Lonchura striata: one gene and its partner. The protein of the gene in region 1 purifies or fractionates together with the protein of each later gene. This does not show direct contact. Links are inferred from orthologs where the notes say so. Each region holds a gene or a part of one and is shown on either strand. Other genes may lie near its edges. The genes, in order: LUZP1 and DAPK3.

The links.
Region 2: the proteins of LUZP1 (region 1) and DAPK3 purify together in Homo sapiens (affinity purification with mass spectrometry; 3 studies listed by BioGRID and IntAct, with this or other methods). This does not show direct contact. The link is inferred for Lonchura striata from reciprocal best matches to the Homo sapiens genes LUZP1 and DAPK3.

The regions. Positions count from the first base shown.
Region 1 is NC_134628.1:5,226,663-5,237,773, forward strand, and holds the start of LUZP1 (leucine zipper protein 1), read right to left. Parts: upstream 5,016-11,111; 5' UTR 4,888-5,015; intron 1-4,887.
Region 2 is NC_134630.1:6,837,946-6,848,552, forward strand, and holds the start of DAPK3 (death-associated protein kinase 3), read left to right. Parts: upstream 1-5,992; 5' UTR 5,993-6,086; intron 6,087-7,755; 5' UTR 7,756-7,821; coding exon 7,822-7,883; intron 7,884-9,154; coding exon 9,155-9,515; intron 9,516-10,318; coding exon 10,319-10,448; intron 10,449-10,590; coding exon 10,591-10,607. Other genes in the region: EEF2 (elongation factor 2), read left to right, coding at 1-19, 288-401, 546-684, 1,297-1,492, 1,634-1,892, 2,444-2,551, 2,635-2,988, 3,595-3,777 and 2 more. UniProt on the Homo sapiens protein: Serine/threonine kinase which is involved in the regulation of apoptosis, autophagy, transcription, translation and actin cytoskeleton reorganization. Involved in the regulation of smooth muscle contraction.

The DNA of each region.
Region 1 (11,111 bases):
CAGGCATCAAGTTTGCAAGTTGAAATCACAAACCTCAAAACCGGCTGAGTTAATGAGTTAATTCAATACTAAGTAAGGTTTGATACTATGGCCTGGGCAGTACAGCAGGTCAAACTATGACTTAAAAACCAATTAGCTAAGTAAATTCAGAACTATAAATGTTTACATGCAGGGGCTTGTCCACCCACTACTGATTAAAAATCGTTAAAGCCTACACTTTCCCCTTTGTGACTTGAAGCAGCTAAACCACCACATTCCCCACAAACCAGGACAGACAACAAGGAGGAGTGATGAGGAAGTATCCACACTCATCAGTGCATGTCCCCCATTACTTCATCCTGGAGCACTCAGGAGCCCACCTGTCAGAAGCAGACATGGCACCAGGCCAGTCTGCCTGTGCCTGCAGCTAAGGGAAGACAGTGAGCATGGCTGGGTTGTGGACAGCTGGCCCCTGACACACAGGGCAGGGCAGCATGACAGCTATTATGCTGCAGCAGGCCAAGGAGCAGCCATACGGAAGTTTCCAGCTCACACAAAGTATTTACACACGTGAGACCAGTGCACTTTGCTGGCCCATGTTCAATACAGCTGCTCAGAGCCCAGATGACAGGACTCTGAAGTTACTTTGTGAGGAGGACATTTGAGGTTTGCTCAATCCAATGAACCTCTGACAAACAGGGACAAAAAAAGATTGGGACTTAATAAAAGTAAAAAATTTTTCCACTGAAGTCCTCTAAATATATCTCTACTCCTCTGCCCAAACCTGGGCAGCACTTTGTGTGAGCAGGAACTTTGCAAAGGTAGCACTTCCAAACTCACTGTGAAAGCATGGTGGTGACAGAGACCTCAAGGCAGACAACAATGCTGAGATGCTCAAGGGATGCTATTACTGCAAAAGTGACCTCACAGACTTTTGGCCAGATCCTCAAACTTAAGTTTTATAGTAATTTTCAGGTGGCCCTGTACTGTGCCTGCCTCCTTCTAGCCTCATGCTCCCCTCCCTTGGCCAGAGTAAAGCAGCCCCGCAGCCAGGCTGGGAATTGGGCAGGGTTAAAGGGAGTGGGGGGAGGCTGATGGTTAATTTTCACCAGATCAACTCTCTGAACACAACTGCATGAAGTTTTTGTCAGCTTGGGTAGGGCTAGACAGGGCATTTGGAGGAGAAAGTGGTTAGGACAAGGGGAAAGGCAAACCCACCTCCTCCAGGCACAGTGCCCACCTGCACTGATGTAGCACTTCCCAGATCCATGACTGAAGAGGATGTGAAAATCTATCTCTCCTCCAACTTGATAAAAGCAAGCAGACACTCTCATCCACCCACTGCCACACAGAAATAAACTTACCATCTTATGTGTTCTTATACATTATACCTGTGTGTTGGCAACCTTGTTCCTAAGCAAGGAAGTGATACATTTAATTCCTGGGGTTACTGGGCTGGATCCTAAGGGGGCTTTACTACAAGAAGAGACAAGGCTGCAGAGCAGGCTAAGTGCCAAGTACAACATTAAAACTCTTTTTTTTCTAAACACCCCCTTCTCCTTTCAGCCCATCACTCGCAGGGTGCATTCACCTTTCTGTACTGTGTTTCTATGTGAAATTAAAACGTTTGGAACACAAATGTTACATTTGCTGCACAACTATTGCAACAAAGCACCAAAATATTCTCAGCTTTCTTTTATAGAAAAGGAAATAGAAACTGCCTGTGCACAGCTTTCACATGCTTCTGTGCATGCTGCTGTCACGCTCAGGTAAAGCTGTGTGTTGCACCTGCATATTTTACTCCACCCTGGTGAGGGTTAAAGCACACAGGGCTGAGGTATCCTTACAACCCCTTATCTGCCCAGATTAGGGCCCCAGCAGGGGAACATCATTGCCAAAACCTAAGACACCACCACAGACACAAAAGCATTAAGGCCACATTCTTATGGCTGACATCCAATGCCACACTTTATATCTGATCATTTCAAAAACACTGGTTTTCAGGCTGCTGAATCAACCCAAACCCCACCAACTTCACAGGAATGGCATGCCTGGCATGCCTTCTCAGTCATGGTGGTTAGGAAGGCTCCTAAATCTGGACAGTTAAGGGCAAATGGTTTGTGGGTTTTCTACCAAACTGATTCTGTCACCAGCCCCAAACCTCAAATCCAGAGGGATGTAACTATCAACAGTGTGTGCAGTGAGTGGCTGCAGTCACCACCAGGAGAAGGCTGCCACAGCCTGTGTTACCCTGGCAAACAGATGAGATTGGACAGGGAGAATAATCATACCTTTGGTGGCTACAGAGAGAAGAAGAGATCAAGTTAAAAGACTAAAGCCTTCCAAAGACTCAGCCCATTGAAAGCAGAGAGAAGAATAACAGTATGGAAGGACAAAGCCAACCACCAGCTTTAGGAATGCAAGAAGTGCTGGCAAGCAACACCTGCTCATCAGCTGTCACCAAGTACTGGAAAACTTTCATGCTTTCTACTTCATGTGTGTGAATACAAGCATTACCCAAGGCAAAAAGTCTGTACAGCAGGCCTTAGACGTGTGAGGATGTATGTAACCATGCCATAATCATCACAACAAAGGTTCTCCATTCCAACATGTTTTAAGGGCTCCCATGATCTGCAATCCACTAGTTAGTGTAAAACGTATTACTGCAGCAAATCATCACCCTCGTGGGAATCTTCCAATAAAAACAACCTCCTAAAGAGATTTTATGCTTCATTTTAGTGTAACAATTGTATCAAAATTGTCCTTCTTTGTCATTTTGCTCAGTAATGCCAGCCATACTTTCTGAAAAACTCCCATCAAGAAAGAGACCTCTGGTTCCTCACCAACTGCAGCCCACAGTGGGAAGGAAATGTTTCATGGAGGACATGCACAGCCTTTAGAGTCCCTGGCTACAATACTCTGCTAACATCATGCTCAAAGTTGTAATCACCAATCCATTTGAACATAGAAAATAATGTGGACTAGACTGCAAGGCATACTGGGTTTTTAAATATTATAATTTCTTGTAACAGCCACATTTGAGAGTTCTCTTTTTTAACACAAGTTATTTTTTGCCTACAGTTCCTAGCCTCGTATAAAATAAAGAAAATCATCAACTTACTCTAAGCTGGGCAATTTTCAGAACACAGCCAGAAGACTAGAGAAATGTCTGTGCTCTTGTAACTTATTCCTACTTCTTAGGAAGTCAGCATTGTTCAGACTCACCTGTACTGGAGTGCAGAAACGTTACTATTTCATAGCAATATGAGGAACCTGAGGTTGAAGAACTACTTAGATCAGGAGATGCAGGGGCTAGTTAATGGGGACCTGATTACTCTTGAATTGTGCTGCTCTCCCACACTCCCTTTACCCCAACTCATTCCTTCCCCCAGGAACTTTCAGACGCATATCCAAAAGAAACACAGCAATCAGCTCTCCACGTCCTCCTCCTCCTTGCAGTGCTACAGAGGGCTGGGTGCCCTGAGCAGCCCCAGGCGTCCCATGCCCAGGAGGTGTCTTGCACACCAGGTCCCTGCACAAGTGAAATTCCTCCACAATGGAGGAATTACACTTCTGCAAGTGTGCCGCAGATGCAAACCAGCCACAGAGCACGCTGTCCCTGCCGAAATATGGCAGCTGGCTACTGGCTGCACAAACTGACCGGAGCACAGAGCTGCTGGTTCTGTACTCGCACAGACTGTAACACTGGGAACGACGCCTCCCGCACCGTCCTGCAGGTCAGCAGACGCATACCTCTGCCATGAGGCTGTAGGCATGTGGGAAGTCACTGCATTTTTTCCCTCTAAACACGGAATGCCACAGACGATTCCAGGTTGTAAAATTCCCCCTTCCCACTGTCATCACTGTGGTGAGAGGCGCCCACCCACCCCAGCGGCTCTCGGCGAGAGACTCGATAAGCAACAAGCCCAGCACACGCGGCAGTGATGAGCACTCCTTCCCCCGATTTTTGTGGAACATTTTAACAGAATTTACGCACCACTTAAAACTTAATCCCACAGCACCTAACTCAAAAGTGCTGATTAGTTGGGATGGTAACTTTAACTAGTGTTTAATTGGTTTAAAGGCTTCAAATGTAGCATTACAAGGGGGGAAAAATACAGATTTGCAATGAAAGCACAATCACCAAGGACAACAAGCAAAGGTTTGCTGTGCCACTGGCTTCACATGCCGGCACATGGGACACCTGACAAAGCCAAACGAGGGAGGTTTCAGAAATTTTTGAAAGAGGCAAAGAAAAGTTTCACAATGCTCCATCAATTAATTCCCTCACGACGGGGGAGCAAAGAAGACTGAAGTAATTAACAAAGTCAGAGCATCAGAAAAGCATGTATATAAAAGAACGTTATGAATTATTTGCTAAACGTGGGCGGGCTGGGAAAGAAGGGGGAATTCAGGAAAAATAAGCAACAGGAAAGGGAGTATGTGGCTGCAGCAAGGAAAAAAAAAAAAAAGGTTATTCACAGAAAACGCGTTAAGTGCCTGGAAACCTCCAAAATCTCAACTAAGCCCCAGCCAACGGGTTTAGGAACTTCCCTGCGGGCAGCTCGCTACAGCGAGGAGCGGTGGGACCGTGCCCTTCCCGGGCGGGGACGGGGCCGATCTCCGCTCAGGAAAGCGGCTGTTCCGGTCCTGTCGGAAGGAGCCCGACGGCGGCTCCATTTCCGAGCGGGAGCCGAGGCCCCGGCGGGCGCCCCAGGGCCGGCTCTCCCGCGGGGGTCCCCGCCGCCGCCGCGGGCCACCCGGCCTGGAGGCACCGCTCGCCCGCACGGGAAGGGACGGGGAAGGCGGCGGCGGTCACAGACAAAGCGGATGCCTCAAATTCCTCCCCGCCCCGCCGGTCCGCCGCACCCCCCGCCCTCCGCCCCTTCATCGCCCACCTCTGCCTACCTGGGCAGCAGGAGCGGCCGGGCTTCGCTCCCTCCCAGCCCGGGCTTGGGCAGCCGCAGCCCGCGAGGGGCTCCGGGGCTCGGGCGGCGGTGCGGGCGCTGACAATGAGGGGAGGGCCGCGGGGCCGGGCGGTGCTTGACGTCAGCGGGCGGGGGCTGCGGCCCGGCCCGGCCGCCGCAGCTCCGCGGCGCCCGCCCCCGGCCCTGAGAGGCGGGCGGGCCCCGCCGCCATTTTGGGGGGGCCGAGGGCGCTCGGGGCAGGGAGGGGAAACTTTCCGCCAGGCCCCGGCGCGGAGCTGGGCGGGCTTGGTGGCGCTGCTCTCGGAGGGTTCGTGCTCCGGAGCCTGCCGGACAGCCCCTTCTGCGGACGCGGCCAGGGCTGCCGCTGGCTCGGGGATTTGGTGTCGGGGCGGGCGGTGCCGGTCCCGGCTCTTTGGGAGCAGGGCGGAGCCCCGCGCCAGGTGGCACAGCGAGGTTTTGTCCTCCTCTCCCGCCGCATCCCCCCGTTAGTGCCATCTCTTGGACACTTTGGACTTGGTGGTCAGCCCAGCTGCGGTTGGTTCCACCTCTGGTACCTGCAGCCGGGGATGCCGACATGGGATCAGGGACAAGAGACCTCCGCCAGCACTAACCGGGAAAAGCTGCTCCCGGTGCGGCTGAGCGGTGAGCCGAGCCCGGGAGCTGACCGGGCGGGTGGCGCGGCGAAGGACACCGGGAGCGTGCCCGGTGCTCTGTACAGCATCATGCCCAGCTGAGTCCGCAGCAGACGTGTCAGAGGCCGGTGAGCAATTGCAGCCTCCCGGCCAGGCAGCGAGACGTGACAGGCTCGGAACCTACTGACCATTGTGGGGACAGTGGGGAAAAGGGGAGCTGCCTCCTCACCTTGTAACATCCCTCATTCCACTTGTCCCTTTCTGTACTTTTGTCTGCAGCTTCCTCTGACTGCACTAAGTCCCCATAATTATTAAAGAAAAATATTGCTTTATCTTAGAGCAGCCAGAGCTTCCTTAGTTTTCCTCTACATCATTTCCTTTCCCGGGACAGAAATTTCTGAGTGTCTAACCTCACACTACTAAGCTTTTTTTCTTTGAAACACCAGCCTGGGTAGTGGCAACCCTTGTTGCCACGGGCACTGTACCACCAGCTGCGGCCATGCAGCTTCTGCAGGACACAGAGCAGGCAGGTTGTCTCTCACTTGGGTCCAGAGATTTGACATTTATCATTTATTTGGTTTCTATTCACTCTCTTCCTCATTCTACAGACCCCACGTGGCAGCTGGTTCAGTTGCCACTTTGGTGAGGGGCTTCTTTCTCCTCCTCCTTTATCAGCTCAGCTCATTTTGTTAGCTGTCACCTCCCTCCATCACTCATGCTGGGTGGGTCAGGATTTACCTCACACCTTGTGCTTTCCCTCGAGCAGCAGTTCACTCTGCCAGTGCTGCTGGCATCTGGTGGCACAGAGGCTGAGTGTCTCTGAGTCCTTAGTGAGCATTTTACTCACCCAAGCCTGAGGCATGGTTGCTATGCTTATCTCTTGGATTGGAAGGATGGGTGCTGGATTTCCAAAACCCAAAGCAGGGTGCCAGCACCACTGGTAGAAAACTTTTTCCCCAGATGTCCCCACAATGACTGATAGAAAGGCTGCATAGTCCCGAGGGAGTGGGGTGTAAGCAATGTGGGCAGGTGTGACCAGAGATGATGGGCAAGGAGAGATGACAAACACAATAAAATCACAAATTATACGAGGAATCAGCAGAAGCTGTCAGCGTATCTGACAACAGAGGATCCATATGGGTGTAGTAGCTTTAAACAAATAAATGTAACTCATGCATCTTATGCACAGCTTGATAACGTGAGAAGTGGATGGCTCTAGGATGCCATGAACACCAGAGGCATGAGATTCAAAAGGGATTAGCCAAACTTACAGAGAGCAGATTTCTCAGTGGTTATTAAAAATGTCTACCTGAGTCATCTTACAGTTCATGAGGTCCCTGAACTGACTCTTCAGGTATTGCTATTCTGTACTCCCTCTGCTTGTATGGTGAATTTAAGTGAGGTGTCTGAGTTGATCTTGCAGCTGCTGATACACGCAGTTGAATGTCCCTCCTAAAATTACTTGTATGTGCTGTTTCTTCTGCACCAGTTCTGGCATTTGTTCTGTTTATCAAACAAGCAGACAACTAACTCAGAGTGAATACTTCTCTACCTACAGTGAGTTGAATTAGCCCACTGTTTTCTAAGCCAGTGGTTCTTGCTTCTCTCTGCAAATTAGAAGTGGACATTCTCCTGATTCCAGGTGTTTGGGTTTTAAGTATTTAGAAGATCAGATTCATGATAAGATCCTGATGTTTGTTGAATTAATTTCTAACGGCTCCGACAGAGCTGGAGCCTTGGTTGTGTTAGATGCCACACAGAGTTTAGGAACAGTATTAAACACAGCAAGCAGGGAAAAAGAAACAGAATCATGCTTGTATGAACAGAAGTGCTGCATGGCTTGCTAGTCTCACATCATTATCAGCAGTCTATATGGCAATGTAAGTTTTGTTGGGTTTGGGGTTTTGTGTGTATGACTGTTTCTTGTTCCTCAAATCAGCTAGGTGCCACCATGAGTCCCCACAGAAGCCTGCAGCCACATCAAGGTTTGGTAACAAAAGCACTGAGAAGGCTGCAGCACATAGGAAACGGGTTGATGTCTTTTTAGTTTGTCCTGCTGCTATCTTCCTCTCAGTCAGAAAACATGTGCAGTCCATTGGGAACACCATCTCCTCAAGCCAAGGGCTTTCAAATCCATCTTCACCAGCTGCATAAGGAGCCAGAACCTGACACACCTGGAGAACACCAGGATGGGGAGTGGCAATTGCTGGAAATCATAAACAGGATTTACACACACTATGAGTAGGGTTTGTCTGAATACATCAGACATCTCCACCACTGATTCTTCTGCACAAGTCTCATTTCAATCTTGCAGCATAGGTAATGTAAATAATGTCATTAAGCATTATGAGGGGATGTTTCACCTCTTCCTGGAGCAGACATCTTAAAAATGTCAGCTAATTTAGGTCTATACATGGGGCCAGAAGGGGTGCATTTAAGGATGCCAAGGGTGTTTGCCAATATAATTTCAAAACTGGCACCATAGCTACAGCTGTGTCTCTTGACGTTTGTTCAAGGACTTGCAAGGTTTACTGCAGAGGGAGTTGTGAACTCAAAAAAGAAAAGCAGGATACCAAGTAGTTTCCATGGTAGTTCAAAATTTGAAATTGTCTATCCATCATTAACTGCTATGGAATAGACAGGAAAATACAAAGCACCACATCTTCACAGATACCTTTTGTTAGAATATCAGAGTCGTAAAAGATCGTAATTGTCAATGAAAGCATTCTGACACCATGTTAAAAAGCCTGTTCTGCAAAAACATTTCCATCACATCATAGACTCATTATGTATACAAAACAGGAAGAGGAATTTTGGGCATGCTTGTTTGTGAAGATGTGATCTGTTCATCAATATACTTAAGTAGTCTTACATATTGTTCTTTTGTTCCTCTGTGCATTTTGTTCCTATTTTGCATTTGTTCCTTTGTACTGACAAGGAGCTGTTTTCCAGTTGGTGGGCATGGTGGGATTTCTTCAACCCTCAGGCTTTCAATGACCATATTTCTTTCACGTAGCAAGGTTCAGGTTTGTCCTGGGAGGAGTGATCATGTTCCATGTTCATTGTCCTGCCAGTCTTCTGTCATGGTAACTCCACATTGCTGACATTCATCCTCTTCCCTGGTTGTAGGAATAACCTGCACTGGAATTTAAATGCAGGGTGCTGCAGTGAACACACATACTTTGACATATATTTAGCTATTTCTTCTATTTTCAATAAATGTTACAATATCATTGAAACAACTATCTTCTTGGACATATCAATATGTACTTTTATACAAACATAACATGTTTTAACTTACCTTTGTGCTCAATATTGCTAGAGCTTCACTGGAGAGGCACTGAGATATCACTCAGCCCTCCTGTACCTTCTGTGAAATACATTTGTGTGCTCTAGACTGCAATTCACAGTGTTGTAAAACATGGTAAATACGGACATTGATCTCCGTGACATGAGGGCCTCCTTTCAACTCAGAGGCTGTGAGTGTTATTTAATTTATGATCATCTCTAGCAAGTGTTTTCATCTGCCAGTTCCATATCACTGTTTTTTCCAATATAAATTACTGAGGCATGCTATCAAATATTTACTAACAATAAGAATGGTGTAATATTAGACCATGTCCATTTTAAAATTAATCTATAACCTAACCAAAGAAAGGGCCTACTTTGTTTACTCTTGAATTAAACAGTGTCAAAGAAGAGTGGTGGATCACCTTCCTATGCTGTATTTTACCATTCTCTTCATAATCGGAAATCTTCTAGAGTAGGAAATACAGGAAGAGAACAACAGCATAGTTGATACAGGCAGGGAATGGACTAGCCAGCCTCTCAAAGGCCCTTCTAGGACCATGATCTGTAATTTTATGTTTCACACTGAGCAGGTGAATCACTCAGAGACCGTGGAAGTCATCACAAACTGGCCCAAAGGTGAACATTTCAGCTGTCATCATCAGAGGAGGATGAAACGTTGACTGCTGCTATAACAGCAAATTGAGCAGTACAGGGACTGGCCTCAGGTGTGGGAGTTCAGTTGCCCACACTGGTTTATGGTTCAAGCTGTCCCCTGGGGGCTGTGGCCTGTGTCAGCTCACGTGTCCCCAGGCAATGCAGCAGCACAGCTCAGGAGTGAGCCAGGGAGAACCTGCACTGGCAGTGGCCACTGTGGACACGCTTTGAGAGGACACTGTGTGGACACGGCCATGTGGTGGCACCACCCAAATCTCTTAAGCTTGATAGAGCTAGATCAGTGCCCTTTTGGGAGGGTAAAGGAGCCATGTCCCAAACAAAGCAGCCTTAAATGCTTTCTGTGAGAGAGGACTGCCCTACTGTGACCACACAACTGCTCTGTCTGACTCTGCAGCATGTGGGTGGTCCTGGTGTGGCAGCACATTTCTCTCCCTCTCAGGATTTTTCATAGAAGTGCACAGAGAGAAATGAAAGAGAAAACCATTTCTATTTCTGCTTCTTGTTTTTCCAATGTGGAATGTGCTTGGAGAATTGTTTACCTGGAGTGCTTGGTTGGATTCTGGTGAGGATTGTTTGAGCCTGATGGCCAAACCAACCCACCTGGGGCTGGACAGAGACAGGGTCACGAGTTGTGTTAGAGTTCGAGAAAGTAGTATGTAGTTTTAGTATCTTCCTTTTAATATAGTATATTAATGAATTTTAGCATAGTTATAATAAAGAAATAATTCAGCCTTCTGAATTGAGTCAGACATCATAATTTCTTCCCATTGGGTTCGCCTGCATTTACAATAGTGATGGGGCATCACTTTATGGTCCATCCTCAGCAGAGGCACCAGTAACAGGGAGAAGCAGCAAAGCTGTGCTACAAATGCAAAGGAAAGGTTGAAAGCTGTGGTGGACAAGCTGTGGTGGAGTGTGTTGGGATGGCCACAGCAGTGGACAGTGGAGATGAACTGGGGCAGGCTGAGAGATGGAAGGGCAGTCAGAAGGATGCTGGCTTTGTGTGGCTTTCATATTCAGCATAGACATGACAATTCTGATGTAAAATGCCCAGAGACTAAAACGTTGCATGACATTTGGGCTGCACCACTTGGTGTGCTGTCTTGTCTGAGACTTCATCCAAGACCTCCATGTGCCAGCTTCCCACCTGCCAAACCAGGGAAGGAATCCCAGAGGCAGAGAAGTGCATGTTGGACAGGACCTGCTCTGTGACCCCAGCAGAGGGTCCTGACAGTGACTCCTGAGCACAGTTTGTCTGACCAGTACTTAAAGAATTCCAGAGACAGGGATGCCAGATCCACCCCAACAACCTAATTACTAAGAAAGTTTTCCTTGGTGTGTCACTTCATTCTCCCCTCTCTAACTTCCCATATCTTATCACCAAGGAGCGAAATTTACAGCTATTTTATGAGGTCCTAGTCATTCCACACTGGCACTAACCATATTCTCCTATTTCAGTTTATGCATTCAAAAAACCAGAATGACAGAAATATAAGATCAATAATTTTCATGCTATTTATTTTGTAGCATTTCTTCACTGGCTGTTCTATTCATGATAAAATATGTAATAATAAATTCAACTAAACTGTTTCCTTTCTACACTTCA
Region 2 (10,607 bases), on another chromosome or scaffold:
CCTTGACCCCATCTTCAAGGTGAGTTCCTCAGGGTTCCTCCTTGGCCGGCGCCTCCTGCTCTGCGCTTCTGTTCCGTGCGTGATGATGGAAAATTTCTTCACTTTGACCTGACGTGTTTGATTGAAGAAATTCAGCTGTCTGACACACCTGGCTGCTCTGGGGCACAGGGGCTGTGTCTCCTGGGGGAGCTGGGTGCTGAGGAGGAGCAGGAATTCTCTGCAGGGGCGGTGGTGCAGTTGCTCCAGACGGGGTCACGGCGGCGCTCCAAGGGCTGCTCTTGTCGCAGGTTTTCGATGCAATCATGAACTTCAAGAAAGAAGAGGCGGCTAAACTGATTGAGAAACTGGACATCAAGCTGGACAGTGAGGACAAGGACAAGGAGGGCAAACCCCTGCTGAAGGTGAGGCTGGTCTGAGTCCTCTGGGGAGCAGCTGAGCAGTGCTGCTCCAGCTGTGTCAACATCAACTTGCTTGGGAGGTGGGGAAGGACGGGGAGGTGAACCCCTGTTGTGAACACTCTGACTGGGTCCTGCTGCTCTGCCCAGGCTGTGATGAGGCGGTGGCTGCCAGCTGGAGATGCCCTGCTGCAGATGATCACCATCCACCTGCCTTCCCCCGTCACAGCCCAGAAGTATCGCTGCGAGCTGCTCTACGAGGGCCCCCCTGACGATGAGGCTGCCATAGGTAGGATGAAGGATGAGCTGCTCTGCTGCCCGGCCTCGGCTCCAGCATGCCTGTAACCAGTTTGTTCTCCACGTGCACAGCTCAGGAGTGTCTGGAATTGAGTCTGTAGCTTTTCCAGCATGGATCAAACAGTTTTAGTGGCTCACAGCTCTGTTCTGGAGCACTCAGCTGGCTGAGTAATCTCAGAGTAGCCAGAGGGTCCATCTGAACCTCTGTTAAAAACATTTGTTGGTGATAAGATCTTCCATGGAATCTCAGAATAGATTGGTTTGGAAGAGATCTTGAAGGTCAGCCCCATCTCCTGACCAGGCAGGGACATCTTCCACTGCCCCAGGCTTCTCCAAGCCCCATCCAACCTGGCCTTGGGCCCTGCCAGGGATCCAGGAGCTGCCACAGCTGCTCTGGGCACCCTGTGTGTTCTCCCAGGGAACAATCCCTTCCCAATATCCCATCCATCCCTGCCCTCTGGCAGTGGGAGCCATTCTCCGTTTTCTCTAGCCCAGACAGAAGCCCTTGGGCTGGGACAGTGGGTGCAGGTCTTGAGTTGGGGTTTTGGGGTGGGTGCCAGATACATCGATACCTCTGTGCTAAGCTGGTCTGTCCCCCTCCCAGGCATTAAGAACTGTGACCCCAAAGGCCCCCTGATGATGTACATCTCCAAAATGGTGCCAACCTCTGACAAGGGACGTTTCTACGCTTTTGGCCGTGTCTTCTCTGGTCTCGTCTCTACTGGCTTGAAAGTCAGAATCATGGGACCAAACTACACACCTGGCAAGAAGGAGGATCTGTACCTGAAGCCAATTCAAAGGTGTGTCCTGGCTGGGCTGTCGAGGGATTCTGATGCTGTCTCAGGTCTCTTCTCATGTCTGAGGCTTGTCAAGGTTCTTGGCTGTGGGCTGAGTGGGGTCTCCTCCCCTTCCCAGCCTCACTAATCCACCTTTCCCTTTAGGACCATTCTCATGATGGGCCGCTACGTGGAGCCCATCGAGGACGTGCCTTGCGGGAACATCGTGGGGCTGGTCGGCGTGGACCAGTTCCTTGTGAAGACTGGAACCATCACCACCTTCGAGCACGCCCACAACATGAGGGTCATGAAGTTCAGCGTCAGCCCCGTGGTGCGCGTGGCCGTGGAGGCCAAGAACCCGGCCGACCTGCCCAAGCTGGTGGAGGGGCTGAAGCGCCTGGCCAAGTCTGACCCCATGGTGCAGGTGAGTGGCCAGAATGGATCCAGGGGTGCTGCTTCCATCCTGGGGAAGCCTTGAGTTGAGTGTTGGTCCCTGCCTTGCACCCTGGCTTGGTGCTGCGACACCCCCAGATGAGTGGGGAGAACATCCAGAAGTAGCTGCCTCAGGATCCTCCAGTGCTGCCTCAGCTGTGCTCGCCCCACACCATGGCTCCTCGGGCATTTGGGCAGCAAAAGCATTTTGGGTCACTTAAATGTTGTTTTTTTTTTTTCAAACACAAAAAACACAGAGGGGATGAGTGGGGAGAACATGTAGAAGTAGCTGCCTTGGGATCCTCCAGCGCTACCTTGGCCATGCCCGCCCCACACCGTGGCTCCTCCTCGGGCATTTGGGCAGCAAAAGTGTTTTGGGTCACTTAAGTGGTTTTTTTTTTTTTTTTCAAACAAAAAACACAGAGGGGATGAGTGGGGGGAACATGTAGAAGTAGCTCTTTGGGTCAAGCACTAAAAACACAGAAAGTTGCTTGTGCATGTGGCTCGTTCTGAAGCTTCACCTGCTGTTCCTGGTGTTCCCAGTGCATCATTGAGGAGTCTGGGGAGCACATCATCGCTGGCGCTGGGGAGCTGCACCTGGAGATCTGCCTGAAGGACCTGGAGGAGGACCACGCCTGCATCCCCATTAAGGTAGAGAGGAGGCTGCGTGCTGGCTGAGCTCGTGGTGGGGGTTTGGCCGCTTTGGTGCCTCACGCCGCGCTCTGTCCCCGCAGAAATCCGACCCCGTGGTGTCCTACCGCGAGACGGTCAGCGAGGAGTCCAGCGTGATGTGCCTTTCCAAGTCCCCCAACAAACACAACCGGCTGTACATGAAGGCCCGGCCCTTCCCCGAGGGCCTGGCCGAGGACATCGACAAGGGCGAGGTGTCGGCCCGGCAGGAGCTGAAGCAGCGGGCGCGGTACCTGGCCGAGAAGTACGAGTGGGACGTCACCGAGGCCAGGAAGATCTGGTGCTTCGGGCCCGACGGCACCGGCCCCAACATCCTCACCGACATCACCAAGGGGGTGCAGTACCTCAACGAGATCAAGGACAGCGTGGTGGCCGGCTTCCAGTGGGCCACCAAGGAGGTGAGGGACGGCGGCTTGGGCTGGGTGGCATCCGTGGTTCCTCACATCTGTGCTTTTGTTATGCTTATCGTGGAGCAAAATGGAACATCTTAGCAGTTCAGGGAATAACGGCAGGAGGGAAAGTGGTCTGAGGGCCTCGACAGGGATTATTTTCAGGATTAGACAGGAGAGGACTGTAGGGTAAGATGACAGACTGGGAACAGCAAGAGGAGGAATTCATTTTCCTGTGTACCACCTAGTTTCAGTCTGAAGGTGATTCCAAGCCAACAACTTCTGTGACATTACCAAGACAAAAAAATCCCCATTTCCCTTGGCCAAATACTTGGGTTTCAGCACCATAAACGTGTGACAGCTGTTGAGGCTTGAACCTCAGAGCTGATCACGAGGCTGCCGCAGTGGTGGCACAGGGGTTGCGAGCTGGTGCTCCACAGAACCCTTAGGTTGGGAAAGACCTAGAGTCCAGCCTTTGTAGGTTTGGAGGCTCATCCTTCAGCAAGGAGGTCGAGTGGCTCCTGGGTGGGAGCTGCTTCCACAGAGCTCCTCCTGGGAGCCAGGCGAGCAGCACCCCATCAGGGGCCACGGAGTGACCCCGCTGTGCCCTGGCAGGGGGTGCTGTGCGAGGAGAACATGCGCGCCGTGCGTTTCGACGTGCACGACGTGACCCTGCACGCCGACGCCATCCACCGCGGCGGCGGCCAGATCATCCCCACGGCCCGGCGCTGCCTCTACGCCTGCGTGCTCACCGCCCAGCCGCGCCTCATGGAGCCCATCTACCTGGTGGAGATCCAGGTGAGTGACCTTCCCCACCCTCACACAGCCCCCAAAATATCCTAGGCTAGCTCGGAGGTAAGCAGGCTGTGAGGGGAGGAATATCAGGAGATGGCAAAGATTTCCAAAAGAGGCTCTTACCCCAAAATATGTTGGTTCAGCTCTCTTTATTCTGTGATGTCCATGTGGAGAGCGGGGCAAAAGAGCACAAAAAGGAAATGTCAGGGGTCTATACAGACTTTGGGCAGGGTGGGCTTCCCTGGCTCTCTGCCAACCCTGTCAGGGCAGGAAGGAGGGTCCAGGGTTATCTGATCAGAGTCCCAGGGAAGGGGGCACAGTGTGCCCATGAGCTCACTGTGACAGGTGAGGAGCCCCTGCCAGCCCCAGGGGAAGGGGGGACGGCGGGTGGGCGCAGTCCTGACTCCAGTCTCTCCTGCAGTGCCCGGAGCAGGTGGTGGGAGGCATCTACAGCGTGCTGAACAAGAAGCGTGGCCACGTGTTTGAGGAGGCCCAGGTGGCTGGGACCCCCATGTTCGTGGTCAAGGCCTACCTGCCTGTCAACGAGTCCTTCGGTGAGTCCTGGAGCCCTCCTGGCAGGGAGAGCCTTGGCGAGGACCTCAAGGGATCCTCGGGTTGAGTTGTTCACCCAGCACTGTGACACTGAACCATGTCCCCAAGTGCCACATCCACACTTCAGAGGCTTTGAAAGCCCTCCAGGGAGGAGGGGGACTCCAGCACTGCCCTGAGCAGCTGTGCCAGTGCTTGACCATCCTTCTGGAGAATAAACTTGCCTAGAAATCTCCAGCCCTCCCTTGCTACAGCTTAGGGGTGTTTCTTCTCACTTGTTGCCTGGAAGAGACCAAAGTTGCAGAACATTTTGGGTTGGAAGTCAGGGTCTTCCAGTGCTGCCTCTGCCATGGCAGGGACACTTGCCACTGTCCCAGGCTGCTCCAGCCTGACCTTGGGCACTTCCAGGGATCCAGGGGCAGCCACAGCTGCTCTGGGAATTCCATCCCAGCCCTTCCCCACCCTCCCAGGGCAGAATTCCTTCTCAGTATCCCACCGGGCAGCGGGAAGCCATTCCCTGTCCTGTCCTTCCATATGTTTGTCCAAAGTCTCCCTCCAGTTCTAGGCACTGGAAGGATTTCTTAAGTTCTTCCTGGAGCCTTTTTTCCATCCCCACCTCACATTGGTTGGGATCTCAGGAGGCTTTTGAGAGCTGCTCTGGGTTCCTCTGCTCTAACCACGGAAACAACATTGAACCATGACCACTCCTGTCCTGCCTCACTTTTTGTCTCGTCCCTCGCAGGTTTCACAGCAGATTTGAGGTCCAACACAGGGGGCCAGGCCTTCCCCCAGTGCGTCTTCGACCACTGGCAGATCCTGTCCGGGGACCCCTTCGACAGCACCAGCAAGCCGTGCCAGGTGGTGGCCGAGACCCGCAAACGCAAAGGGCTGAAGGAAGGAATCCCTGCCCTCGACAACTTCCTGGACAAACTCTAATGAGACTCATGGAACTCTGGGAGAGCAGGAAAAATTTAATTAATTAGCGTTATCACCCATGCCGCCAGGGGTAGACGCCCTTGACCACCATCTTGTTAATTAAATGGGTTTCATAGCAATTTTGAGAACTTCAAATGAGGAAAACAAACAAAAAAAAAGCCTTATAGGTTTCTGTGTTGCACATGACTCATCTTTGCCATTGTAACTAAAACATTTCCACTAGATCTGCCCAATTCTGTATTTATTTGATTCAAAAAAAAAAAAAAATACTGCTGCAGAAGGGCCTGGAAGGAAGTGGGGCGTGCTTCAAGAGGTCAAGAAAAATGGGGGGGAAAGAGAGACAGGGTGAGGATGCCTTATCTGCAGCGTGACTGTCCGTCGTGCCCATCGCCGCCTGTATTAGTGCCACTGGAATTAATAAAATTGGATAAATGGTGACGAAAAATGGAATTTTTGGGGGTGATTCTAAGGGCGAGAGTGGCGCCCTCTGGTGGGGGCGAAGGGGTGGTGCCGCCATTGGCCCCGCCCACCTGGGGCGGGGCTTGGACATGGATGGTGCGGAGTGGGCGGGGTTTGCGAGAAGTGGGCGGGGTTTCATGGAGGGGCGTGGTTTGCGTAAATGTGGGCGGGGCTTTCATGGAGGGGCGTGGTTTGTGTGGATGTGGGCGGGGTTTCATGGAGGGGCGTGGTTTGTGTGGATGTGGACGGGGTTTCATGGAGGGGCGTGGTTTGTGTGGATGTGGGCGGGGTTTCATGGAGGGGCGTGGTTTTCGCGGGGTGGGCGGGGCCTGCTGTGGTGGAATGTGGCGGCGGCGGCGGCGGCCCAGGTTGGGAAGGGGCCGGTGGCCGTGAGGGGCCGTGAGGGGAGATGTGGGGCCGGGCGGGGAGGTGCGGGGCTCTGCGGGTCCCGGAGGGGTGAGGGAGTGCGGCTGGCTGCGCTGGGGAGGGAGCGATGGCGCGGGGAGGGGTGTGTGGGGGATGAGGCCTGTGGGGCGGGGTGGGGAAGGGAGGGATGGGGGCGGCTGTGGGGAGGGATTGGGAGCAGAGTGGGTGGGGGGTTTGGGGGGATTTTGGGGTGGGGAGGGATTGGGAGCAGAGTGGGTGTGGGGTTTGGGGGGATTTTGGGGTGGGGAGGGATTGGGAGCAGAGTGGGTGTGGGGTTTGGGGGGATTTTGGGGTGGGGAGGGATTGGGAGCAGAGTGGGTGGGGGGTTTGGGGGGATTTTGGGGTGGGGAGGGATTGGGAGCAGAGTGGGTGTGGGGTTTGGGGGGATTTTGGGGTGGGGAGGGATTGGGAGCAGAGTGGGTGTGGGGTTTGGGGGGATTTTGGGGTGGGGAGGGATTGGGAGCAGAGTGGGTGTGGGGTTTGGGGGGATTTTGGGGTGGGGAGGGATTGGGAGCAGAGTGGGTGTGGGGTTTGGGGGGATTTTGGGGTGGGGAGGGATTGGGAGCAGAGTGGGTGGGGGGTTTGGGGGGATTTTGGGGTGGGGAGGGATTGGGAGCAGAGTGGGTGGGGGGTTTGGGGGGATTTTGGGGTGGGGAGGGATTGGGAGCAGAGTGGGTGGGGGGTTTGGGGGGATTTTGGGGTGGGGAGGGATTGGGAGCAGAGTGGGTGTGGGGTTTGGGGAGATTTTGGGGTGGGGAGGGATTGGGATTTGTGGGGCCTGTGGGATCGGGATTGGGAGGAGCCGTGGGGCTGGGAAAGGAGGGGGAGGGATTGGGGTGGGGGGATGTGGAGAAGGGAAGGGATGGGGAGGGACTGGGGGTGTGAGAGGGATTGGGGTGGGGAGGGGCTGTGAGGCAGGAAAGGGATGGGGAGGGATTTGGAGGAGAGTGGGTGTGGGGTTTGGGGGGTTTTGGGGGTGGGCTGTGGGGCAGGGAAAGGCTGTGGCCCCCTTCCTTTCCCTTCCCTTCCCTTCCCTTCCCTTCCCTTCCCTTCCCTTCCCTTCCCTTCCCTTCCCTTCCCTTCCCTTCCCTTCCCTTCCCTTCCCTTCCCTTCCCTGTCCCCTGAGTTTTGGGATGTGGTGAGACCGGGGCACATCCCCGGGACTCGGGGTGCTTGTGCTGGGAGCTGCTGTGAGCCGCGGGGACACAGCCCCCCTTTTTCCCGGTGCTGCTGTGAGCCCCGGGGACACAGCCCCCCTTTTTCCCGGTGCTGCTGTGAGCTCCGGGGACACAGCCCCCCTTTTTCCCGGTGTTGCTGTGAGCCCCGGGGACACAGCCCCCCTTTTTCCCGGTGTTGCTGTGAGCCCCGGGGACACAGCCCCCCTTTTTCCCGGTGCTGCTGTGAGCCCCGGGGGCACAGCCCCCCTTTTTCCCGGTGCTGCTGTGAGCCCCGGGGACACAGCCCCCCTTTTTCCCGGTGCTGCTGTGAGCCCCGGGGACACAGCCCCCCTTTTTCCCGGTGCTGCTGTGAGCCCCGGGGACACAGCCCCCCTTTTTCCCGGTGCTGCTGTGAGCTCCGAGGACACAGCCCCCCTTTTTCCCCCTGCCACAGGCGCTGATCCCCCCGGCTGCTCCCCGCTCCTGACGCCCGGCGCCGGCTGCAGAGGGCCCCGCAGCCATGTCCACCTTCCGCCAGGAGAGCGTGGAGGACTTCTATGAGATGGGCGAGGAGCTGGGCAGGTGAGGGACATCCCGCTGCCTTCGGGGGGCTCCCACGGCTGCCGGGAGCTCGGCTGGATCCGGCTGTGGATCCCTGCGGGGTCCCTGTGCCCCCTCCGCAGGCAGCAGAGCTGGGGCTGTGCAGAGCCAGGCAGCTCTAGCCGATAGAGATTAACAAAAAAAGCGTTAATTAACGCTGCTGCCGTCCGGGGCTGGCGGCTTCCGGCCTTCCTCGGTGCCTGAGCTGGCCCGGCGCCTGTGGGAGGGATCCAGGGTGACTCAGAGCCCGCAGATGGGATTTAATCAGCCGGGACGCAGGGGCGGCGGTGGGGGAGCTGCCTCGTCTGTGCCCGCCCCACGCCGTGGCTCCTCCTCGGCCGTTTGGGCAGCAAAACCGTTTTGGATCACTTAGGTGGGGTTATTTTTCAAAGCAGAGGAACTTGCAGGAGTTGCTCCTTTAAATAGGATATTAATGTATTATAGTATAGTTATAATAAAAAAATCGTTCAGCCTTCTGCAGTCAGACATTGTCATTTCTGCCATCTGGGTTCAGCTGCACTTACAATACTCCTCTAATCTTCCTCTTCCTCTTCCTCTTCCTCTTCCTCTTCCTCTTCCTCTTCCCTTTCCCCTTCCCCTTTGTCTTCCCCTTTGTCTTCCCCTTCCTCTTCTTCTCCCTCTTCTCTTCCTCTTCTTCTCCTCTCTTCTCCTCTCTTCTCCTCCTCCTCCTCTTCCTCCTCCTCTTCCTCCTCCTCGTCTTCGTCTTCCTCTTCCTCTTCCTCTTCCTCTTCCTCTTCCTCTTCCTCTTCCTCCTCCTCCTCCTCCTCCTCCTCCTCCTCCTCCTCCTCCTCCTCGTCTTCCTCCTCTTCCTCTTCCTTGTCCTCGTCCTCGTCCTCTTCCTCTTTTCCTCTCCTCTCCTCCTCCTCGTCTTCCTCCTCTTCCTCTTCCCCTCTTCCCCTTCCCCTCTTCCTCTCCCCTCTTCCTCCTCTCCTCTCCTCTCCTCTCCTCTCCTCTCCTCTCCTCTCCTCTCCTCTCCTCTCCTCTCCTCTCCTCTCCTCTCCTCTCCTCTCCTCTCCTCTCCTCTCCTCTCCTCTCCTCTCCTCTCCTCTCCTCTCCTCTCCTCTCCTCTCCTCTCCTCTCCTCTCCTCTCCTCTCCTCTCCTCTCCTCTCCTCTCCTCTCCTCTCCTCTCCTCTCCTCTCCTCTCCTCTCCTCTCCTCTCCTCCTCTCCTCTCCTCTCCTCTCCTCTCCTCTCCTCTCCTCTCCTCTCCTCTCCTCTCCTCTCTCTCCTCAGCGGGCAGTTTGCCATCGTCCGCAAGTGCCGGGAGAGGCAGACGGGCCTGGAGTACGCGGCCAAGTTCATCAAGAAGCGGCGGCTGTCGTCCAGCCGCCGGGGCGTGAGCCGCGAGGAGATCGAGCGCGAGGTGGACATCCTGCGCGAGATCCAGCACCCCAACATCATCACCCTGCATGACATCTTTGAGAACAAGACCGACGTGGTGCTCATCCTGGAGCTGGTGTCCGGCGGGGAGCTCTTCGACTTCCTGGCCGAGAAGGAGTCCCTGACTGAGGAGGAGGCCACCCAGTTCCTCAAGCAGATCCTGGACGGCGTGCACTACCTGCACTCCAAGCGCATCGCCCACTTCGACTTGAAGGTGGGCTCGGGGAGCTGCAGACACCTCTCTGGGAACAGGGATAGACTCCCAGGTGGGCTCTGGGAGCTGCAGATACCCTGTGTTCAGCTCTGGGAGCAGGGGTGAGCCCCCAGGTGGGCTCTGGGAGCTGCAGGCACACCACTGGAGCTGGGATGAGCCCCCAGGTGGCCTCGGGGAGCTGCAGACACCCTGTGTTCATCTCTGGGAGCAGGGGTCAACTCCCAGGTGGGCTCTGGGAGCTGCAGGCACCCCACTGGAGCAGGGATAAACTACCAGGTGGGCTCTGAGAGCAGGGATGAGCCCCCAGGTAGGCTCTGGGAGCTGCAGGCACACCACTGGAGCTGGGATGAGCCCCTAGGTGGGCTCTGGGAGCTGCAGACACTCCGTGTTCGGCTCTGGGAGCTGCAGACACCCCGTGTTCAGCTCTGGGAGCATGGATGAGCCCCCAGGTGGGCTCTGGGAGCTGCAGGCACCCCACTGGGAACAGGGATAGAGTCCCAGGTGGGCTCTGGGAGCTGCAGACACCCCGTGTTCAGCTCTGGGAGCATGGATGAGCCCCCAGATGGGCTCTGAGAGCTGCAGACACTCCGTGTTCAGCTCTGGGAGCATGGATGAGCCCCCAGATGGGCTCTGGAAGCCAGCACCGAGGAGTGGGGCTCAGTTCAGCACTCCTGCACTGCAGTGGGGCTGGTGCTTGGGATCTCTCCCAGCTCGAGGCACTCGCCCTCTGCCCTGGAATGAGGAGCCCAGGGCAGCTCCCCCAGGCTGGTGCAGGGACAGAGCCAGCTCCTCTCCCCCCACAGCCAGAGAACATCATGCTGCTGGACAAGAACGTGCCAAACCCTCGCATCAAACTCATCGACTTTGGGATCGCCCACAAGATCGAGGCTGGGAATGAGTTCAAGAATATCTTTGGGACCCCAGAGTTTGTAGGTGAGCATTGCTCAGTGTACTGAAAGCTTTGGATTAATCCTGGAGGGACACCCAGCACTCGGGTGCTGCTGCCAGGATGTGTCCATGGGGCCAGGCTTCCTTCCCCCACAATGAACTCATTTTCTCCCCTTTCCTCCCAAAGCCCCAGAAATTGTGAAC